Linked DNA regions of Xenopus tropicalis. The protein of the gene in region 1 interacts with the protein of each later gene in a pairwise test. Links are inferred from orthologs where the notes say so. Each region holds a gene or a part of one and is shown on either strand. Other genes may lie near its edges.

Region 1 (4,606 bases):
AACAACCTTTGTCAGAAAAGTGCAATAAGATTGGCCAAACTCGGGTTGACCAATGACCATGTGTCACTGCCCAGCAAGATTTTTAACTTTTCTTTTGGCATTGATCATTTGGTTGTTCAATTTAATGAACAGTTATGAAACAGGTAACCTTTAGTTGATAGTATTTTAAAGGTTTTCCCAGTTAAATGATACTTGGTAGCAGTGAAATTATTAGAGTAGAAACAGAAAAAGGAAGGGTGGTGTTTATTTTATAGACAAGGTGGCAACCATAGTTTAACTTCATTAGAGTATTAGATAAATGGCATGTAGCTAAGATCAAGGTATAAGCAATGGTGCAATAACAGCTGGCTAGAAAATTTGTCTCTTAAAGTTATCAGGAGCGGCTCTTTGCTGCCCCGTGTCTTTTTGGGGGGCGCTACAGCCTGAGGCAAGTTTCTCAACTCGCCTCATGGCAACAGTGCCCCTGGGCAGGGATTTCTTAAAACTATAGCAGACCCTGCGGCTGTCCAGTCCCCCCCTGCAACCATGAGGTCTACGTCCTCTATAGTTACACCACTGGGGATAAGCATGAATTCTATCTGCATCAGATTACTGGACTCATTTAATAATCGGCTCCAGCACATGAAAAAGCTATACGAGCACTAACCTTTACTATTATTTATTTATAAAATGCCCACATATTCTCCACAACTTTTATTACATGGCTTTTTGTGTAGTGGAGGACTTTGTCTGTAAAGGTCAAGTGCTGTGGATTTCTTTTGAGTTTACCATAATTATACATAATTGGGCCCCATTTCCTATAAAGCCCTATATGTAATTCGTATCCCCAATTACTGATAAATCAAGTTTTATAGTGTCCCTTGTCTTCCTATTATAATTTATCCCTGCCCACCCTGGACAACTTATTCCTCTAGTGAAATCGTTGTGATGCCATGGGCAACCTGGTTGTTGGATTAGCCCTTACCAATCCCACCATAGCCAGGTAGTGTGGAACATTACCAAAAATATTTCTGACCATACATTGGGGATCTTCCTAAGACAACAGACCGTTTAACTTAGCAATGTGCGCTGTATACGCGTCAGGCTGAACTTCAAATGTATTCTTTTCATTTTGCTTTCCACCCTTTCCTCTTTCATTTTGATCTAGTTAAAGCTTCCTTCAGCCTCTCTGTCGCCTACTTTCCTCTTCTCATCCCTGCACCCCGTATTTCTTTTTTTTTTACACCTCCCCACTTTCATTTCTTTCTCGATGATTTTCTCTTCCCTAAAGAAGAATCACATTCGTACCGCGAATATAAACGAAAACAATGGAAACCACCGAAAAGCGCTTTATTCTTTCAGCCTAGCGCCACAAGTCTCCACCACGGTTCTACTACACACACAACTTCCTATACTCTAACAAGGTACGCACAGAACACGCAAGATCACGTGCTACTTATTTTCCTGGCCGGCAAAGGACACGCCCCCTAGCCAATCACGGCCTGCCTTTCACACGTCCTGACCCACCACTTCCTGCGTCGCCCGGAAAGCTGTAGGCAGGGGGTGAGATTTGCCGGCACATTGTCAGAGAAGGAATTGTCACTGCGCTGTCGCACCTGAGAGCAAGAAGTTGTACCATGAGCGCGGGTAAGGGACAGGGGAGCTACAACTCAAACATATTTCCCTGGCGGAGAGGCCATTGGCAGTGGGCTTGCCTCCTTTACTGTGATTTTACTGTCGCTTGTGCTGAGTCATGGGCGGGGAATAGCAGCCAGGGGCGTGTTTTTCTAGCAGCAGGCGGGGCTCTAATGTGTTAACCTTTGTGGCGTTTGCTCGCCTGCATCCTGAACCATGAAGCTGTGTTGTTATGTCACCCCCACTGAATGCTGGGAATTGTAGTCCAGCTCGTTTCTTCGTTTAAGAAATGTCATGCTTGTTGTTTCTCCTTCTACCGTAGCGAAGTTGTAAAAAACAGTAACCAGTGTACATATTGGTGTGCCCTCACGGATTACCTTCCTGTAACGAGAAATGTACCTATGGTGGTATTTGTTCTGGTTTGCACAGGAGATTTCTTAGGGAAAGGAGGCTTTATATGCACGGTATCAATAAAATGAGAAGTCAAAAAAAAAAAGGTCAAACTCCATTTCATTGTTAAAAGTGAGTAAAGAGTATTTATTGAAAGGGTTATCACATGATTTTAAACCATTTTGGGTTTTGTTTTGTTTTTTTTCACACAATTGTAACATTATATCCCCTTTATTTTCAAATAGAAGAATTATTAGAAGCTACCTAGGAGTTGCATGGCCTGTATGAAAGAACTTAGTGTGTTAGCCATGTGAATTTGTGAGGTCATGAACCTCCTTTGTCTTCTCCACTATCCATGCCTTTAACAATAGGGGTACATACAGTTTCCCTCAAAAGACTGTTTGGCCATGTATCCAACAACAATATGGGTATCCTTGCGCACACTATTGGCAACTGGCTTGCTGCTATGACTCAATGATCCTTTTCTCGCAGTACATCTACACTAGAGAGAATTTTATGTATATAGCAGCTACTGTACCCCTTTCTTAATGAGCACCTATCACCCTAAAATTGCTTTCTCCACCAGAGATGCGTGCTAATAGAGCAATTCGGACAAGTATGTTGTGGCTCTCACATGCGCATAACGAGCAAATGTCACAACTCTCTTATTATGTGTATGCGTGTGATGGAATGGAGAGTCGCATCCACTGCTTCTATGTCACACACATGCACAAAATGCACATTTTTTTATTTTTAGAGAAAACTATTGTTTGTTCTATTAGCCCGCACCTCTGGTGGGGGGAAACAAATTTAATTTTTTTAAACTTAAAGGCACTTGGCCTGCATTCTTATACATTTATGGTTACAGAATTTTGAGACTTCTAGTTCCAGTGTCCCTATAGCTGAGAGAAGGGCATGCATTTTCCATTATAGATGATCATTATATATTTATATTGAGTATAATCACTTACCTCAGACCTTGGGCTTTGCAACTCTTCACTAAAAATTACGAACCTGGGGGTGCTTTTTTTAGTGATCGCCGTGCATCTGCTGGGTCCTGGGATATGCATGCACAGTAGAGCAAATTGTCGGCTTTTTCTGATTTTACTCTAATGCACTCAAGCATGTTTCCGTTGTTGTAATTCGATCATTTGGTGATGATCACTTTTTACCATTAACCTTACAATGTAATATTATTACTTTATAAAAAGCTAAATTAGGGTAGCTTTTAGAAATGTATACCCTATGAACACATCACATTACAGTAAAATTTAAGTTGCTTTCATTTTTATTGTTTCTAGCTAGCTTAAATACTTAATAAGTAAAACAAATATTACACAGCATATTTATTTGATTCAACACTTCTTTTGACTTGCAGTACTCTGCTTCCTTTAAGGTTTAAGCTTGGAGAAAACATCATCTTTCAAGGAAAAACTGAAATCCGAACCTCAGTTCTTACTGGCTCAAAATGTAGCAACATGTATCGATCCACTTGAAGTGTGTCTTCAGAGGCAGACTGTGCAGGACACAGTACACGTTTTCCAGCACACTATCCCGGCAGAGGGTAAACCAGTTACGAACCAAAAGAACTCAGGTAAGGGAGCCATGCTGTTTTTATTTTTTAAATGCACTTACAGAGGTTCTGCTTCCACCCACACCAGGCCTGGACTGGCAATCTGGGGATTTTGGCAAATGCCAGAAGGCCTGCTGTAAGATGCCACCAAATGTTATTATTTAGTCTGTTAGTTGGGGCTGTTTGGGCCTCTGTGTTCTTGGAATGCCAGGGCCTCCCAATCCAGGTCTGACACACACACACACACAGCTTCCTAGTATCAATGGATGTAAAGTATACTCTCAAGTATTCATACAGTATTGCAGTTATTACAGACATTGTTGGAATTGAATTTACCGTATCAATAAGAACCTCCGGTGGAATCCCAATATGGGGGGTACTATGTATGACCCCATTTTGCTGACACGTCCTTAATGAACATAATGCCATGTAGTGTTCTGTAAAAGCAGTGGTACGCAGTTGTTTTGCCACCCATCGGATCTATTTTTTTTTCTGAGGATGACTGTTCCTCAAAGCTGCCTTCAGTCCAACAGTACCTGCAGTTAGAGTGCAGCTAGTGTGCTGAGGAGCAGTGCTTCCTCCTTTCTTTGTTAATTTTTCATCAACCATAAAAGGAGTAGCACAGGTATGGGATCTGTTATCCAGAATGCTTGGGACTTTTCTGAATAAGGGGTCTTTCTGTAATATGGATCTCCATACCTTAAGTCTCCAAACATTAATTTAACCCAATAAAATTGTTTTGCCTCCAGTAAGAATTAATTAAATCTTTTTTAGGACCAAGTACAAATCACTGTTTTATTGTTACATAGAAAAGGGAAACCATTTTTAAAAATTTAAATGATTTGATTAAACTAGAGTAAATGGGAAGTAGCCTTTCCACAATTCGGAGCTTTCTGGATAACAGGTTTCCGGATAACGGGTTTCCGGATAACAGACACCTGTATCACTTCTTAAAGACAAATTGTGACTACTTCTGTGTTGTCCTTTGGGTTGTTGGGATGTTGCTAAACTTAAATAAACATGAAAGCA
Region 2 (2,913 bases), on another chromosome or scaffold:
TCATGCAGGCAGGGCTGTTTTCAGTCCAAAAAAGAGCTTTAGTACTTCGTAACATCCCATAGGTACAGCTTGCTACAACTACTGCCAAGCACTGCAAGCACCATAGATTTGACATTTCTAGGATGCACTTTGATCTCTGTAGTTCTGTGTCTCGCAACACTCAGCACAACAAGATCAAAGGCCCTGGCATGCAGGGGATAAAGTCACCAATGTGGGAATGTACCGTTATTCTTAAAAAAATATATATTAAATATATATATATTCTCATTCTAACTACTTGTTAAAATAACTCACATTCTAAAATATAAATATATCAATAAACACTAAACTAACAAAAATATAGAAGTTTTTACACAGACTTAGCTGATTGCTCAGATTAAGAGGAAACAAGGATAGTCTGGCTCTCACTTGCATGGATCATTTCCCAACCTCCCCCCACCCATTAGTCTAGCATTCCCTCTGTGCACCCCACAGACTGCCCCATCACAGATTGTCACTGCTTAGATTGAGCTGTTGAGTCCAGTTTGGTGCTTTTGTTTTGTTACACTTGGTTGTACAATTGCAGCAGAGTGCTCCCATGCATTGCTCTGAGCCTTCACCTGTGGATGAGTGGATGAATTGAAATCGATGTAGGGCAGGGGGGCATAAAAACCTCTTGGCAGATCTCATCTGGACTGCAGGCCTTTAGTTTGTACAGCCCTGCTTTAAATCATACATTGTTTTAAATGGTATCCAAAATAAACAAACACATTAAATAATAAATATATTTATTAAGTATGAATTACTAAGGTTGTATTTATGCCCTTATATACAGGTATGGAATCTCTAATCCAGAAACCCTGAAAACTGGGGTTTCTGAGATAAAGGTTTTTCCATAATTTGGATCACCATAGTTTAAGTTTACTAAATAGCATTTAAACATGAAATAAGCCCAATGATTAATTTGTCACCAATATGGATTCATGCAGCTTAGTTGTATTGAGTACAAGGTACTGTTTTATTATTACAGAAAAAAATGAAATCACTTTTAAAAATGTAAATTATTTGTTTAAAATAGACTCTATAGAGATAACCTTTCCATAATTTGGACCTTTCTGGATAATGGGTTTCCAGATAAATTTTCATTCTGCCTGAAAATTTAGCACAAAAAAGGATTTTGTAGTAAAATATTAAAGTTGGGATTTATTGCATTGATTATAGTGTTTATGCTTCTCATCCTGTAGGTGCAATGATAGTACATCCCTATGGAAACTGCATTTCTCAGTTCTTAAAATAAAAATGTTAAATGTATATTTAGATCACACAAATTTACAGATTGGCATTCATTCCGATCCAGTGCTTTATTAACTGATATGCAATGGCTTGCCTTGGCGGTACAGTTAATGCATGATGGTTTCCTTTAATCACTGCATCTACAACCTGCAACACAAAAAAACAGATCTTGTTATAATCATTTATGATTTATATGACATTAATCCTAATGTAAACCACAGTATTATTTCCTGGAATTTCTATCTTTGCCTGGACACTATCAGAATCCTATCAGAATCCTAATACATTGGTTATAATAATAAGAAACAAAAAGGTTTCTCATTATTAGCTTCTGGATCCCCTAACACCACAAATTAATGCCAATGCCAATAATAGTTTTAGTGTATTCAGTGGCTCTCTTTCCAGGAAGGGTAAATTGTAACTATTAGCCTAATAAATTATATCTTTATAAGCATGGACTTATCCTCTAGCAGAGAGTCACTGGGGTGTTTATTAAGGCTTGGCATCAGAGGAATCAGTGTTTAAAGGACAAGGAAAGGTAAAATCATTAGGCACCCCCAGTGATACTATTCACTTACTTCAGACCCCAAGTCAGCACTCCTCTTATTCCAAAAATCTCTCTTTAGCACTATGATTCCATGCTCTTGCAGTGCCCCAGCATCCCCTGTGCTTGCACATGCACAAGTACAGAATTAGTGACAAATTCCTGCAGCGCTTATTCTCACTCGAGATGGCATAGGGGATGTTGGGACACCACTTTTCAACATAAATTCCTTGGCTCCTAAATTTGCTCCACTGCCCCAAGTGTGTCCTTAGTGTACATATACATTGAACAGATATTGGCTGCAACATGTTAAACATTGGATAAATATAGGCAGCGATATTTTAAACAGGCCTTCAAAGCACTGTGCATCACACAGGCTTCTATACTGGAAACAAAACACTGCATCTGACAGCTAGGAATAAATGAGTGCTTCTGTATAAAGCATTTACTGTACAACTTGATGACATTACTTTTATTATCCTTCATTTATATGGTGCCAACATGTTTCCCCAGCTCTTTGCACAGAGAGTTCATCATTTATATCATTCCCTGCCCCACTGGAGCTTAAGTGCTAGGTCCCTATCACACTTGGACATGGGTCAGAAGCCAATTAACCTGCCTGTATGTTTATGGAGTGAGGGAGGAAGCTGGAGTGGCCGGAGGACATCCACGTAGACACAGGGGGAACATACAATATCCCTGCAGATAGCGTCCATGTCAGAACTGAACTCAGGACCCATAGCTGCTAGGCATACACTTATAGGCTTCCACTTAAACTATAGAATAGCTCTTCTTTGTTCAGGATGCAGCAATTATGTTGTTTTATAGTCTATTTTCCATTTGTTGTGGCATAGTTTTCCTTCACATGACAACTGAGAACAGAGACTGACTTGAAAATATACTGCTGTTTTATTAAATGAGGCTCAAATTTCTTACCTCCCTTTTTCCTACAGATCATATTTTGCTGTTATTGCTTTAAAAAAAGAACATTTTCATATGGTGACAAGATTTGCATTTTTAAAGGCAGTCAGCCATATAAATGATTTATGGTTAAAGAGTAATGTATCATAGAGAAAGGCGAAGAACCGAATACAACC

The links.
Region 2: the proteins of blmh (region 1) and nudt12 interact in binary tests that used the Homo sapiens proteins (3 or more experiments, as listed by UniProt). The two-hybrid records come from large-scale screens. The link is inferred for Xenopus tropicalis from reciprocal best matches to the Homo sapiens genes BLMH and NUDT12.

Annotation. Positions count from the first base shown.
Region 1 is NC_030678.2:32,501,394-32,505,999, reverse strand, and holds the start of blmh (bleomycin hydrolase), read left to right. Parts: upstream 1-1,572; 5' UTR 1,573-1,616; coding exon 1,617-1,626; intron 1,627-3,400; coding exon 3,401-3,598; intron 3,599-4,606. UniProt on the Homo sapiens protein: The normal physiological role of BLM hydrolase is unknown, but it catalyzes the inactivation of the antitumor drug BLM (a glycopeptide) by hydrolyzing the carboxamide bond of its B-aminoalaninamide moiety thus protecting normal and malignant cells from BLM toxicity.
Region 2 is NC_030677.2:175,352,086-175,354,998, reverse strand, and holds the end of nudt12 (peroxisomal NADH pyrophosphatase NUDT12), read right to left. Parts: intron 1,420-2,913; coding exon 1,309-1,419; 3' UTR 751-1,308; downstream 1-750. UniProt on the Homo sapiens protein: mRNA decapping enzyme that specifically removes the nicotinamide adenine dinucleotide (NAD) cap from a subset of mRNAs by hydrolyzing the diphosphate linkage to produce nicotinamide mononucleotide (NMN) and 5' monophosphate mRNA.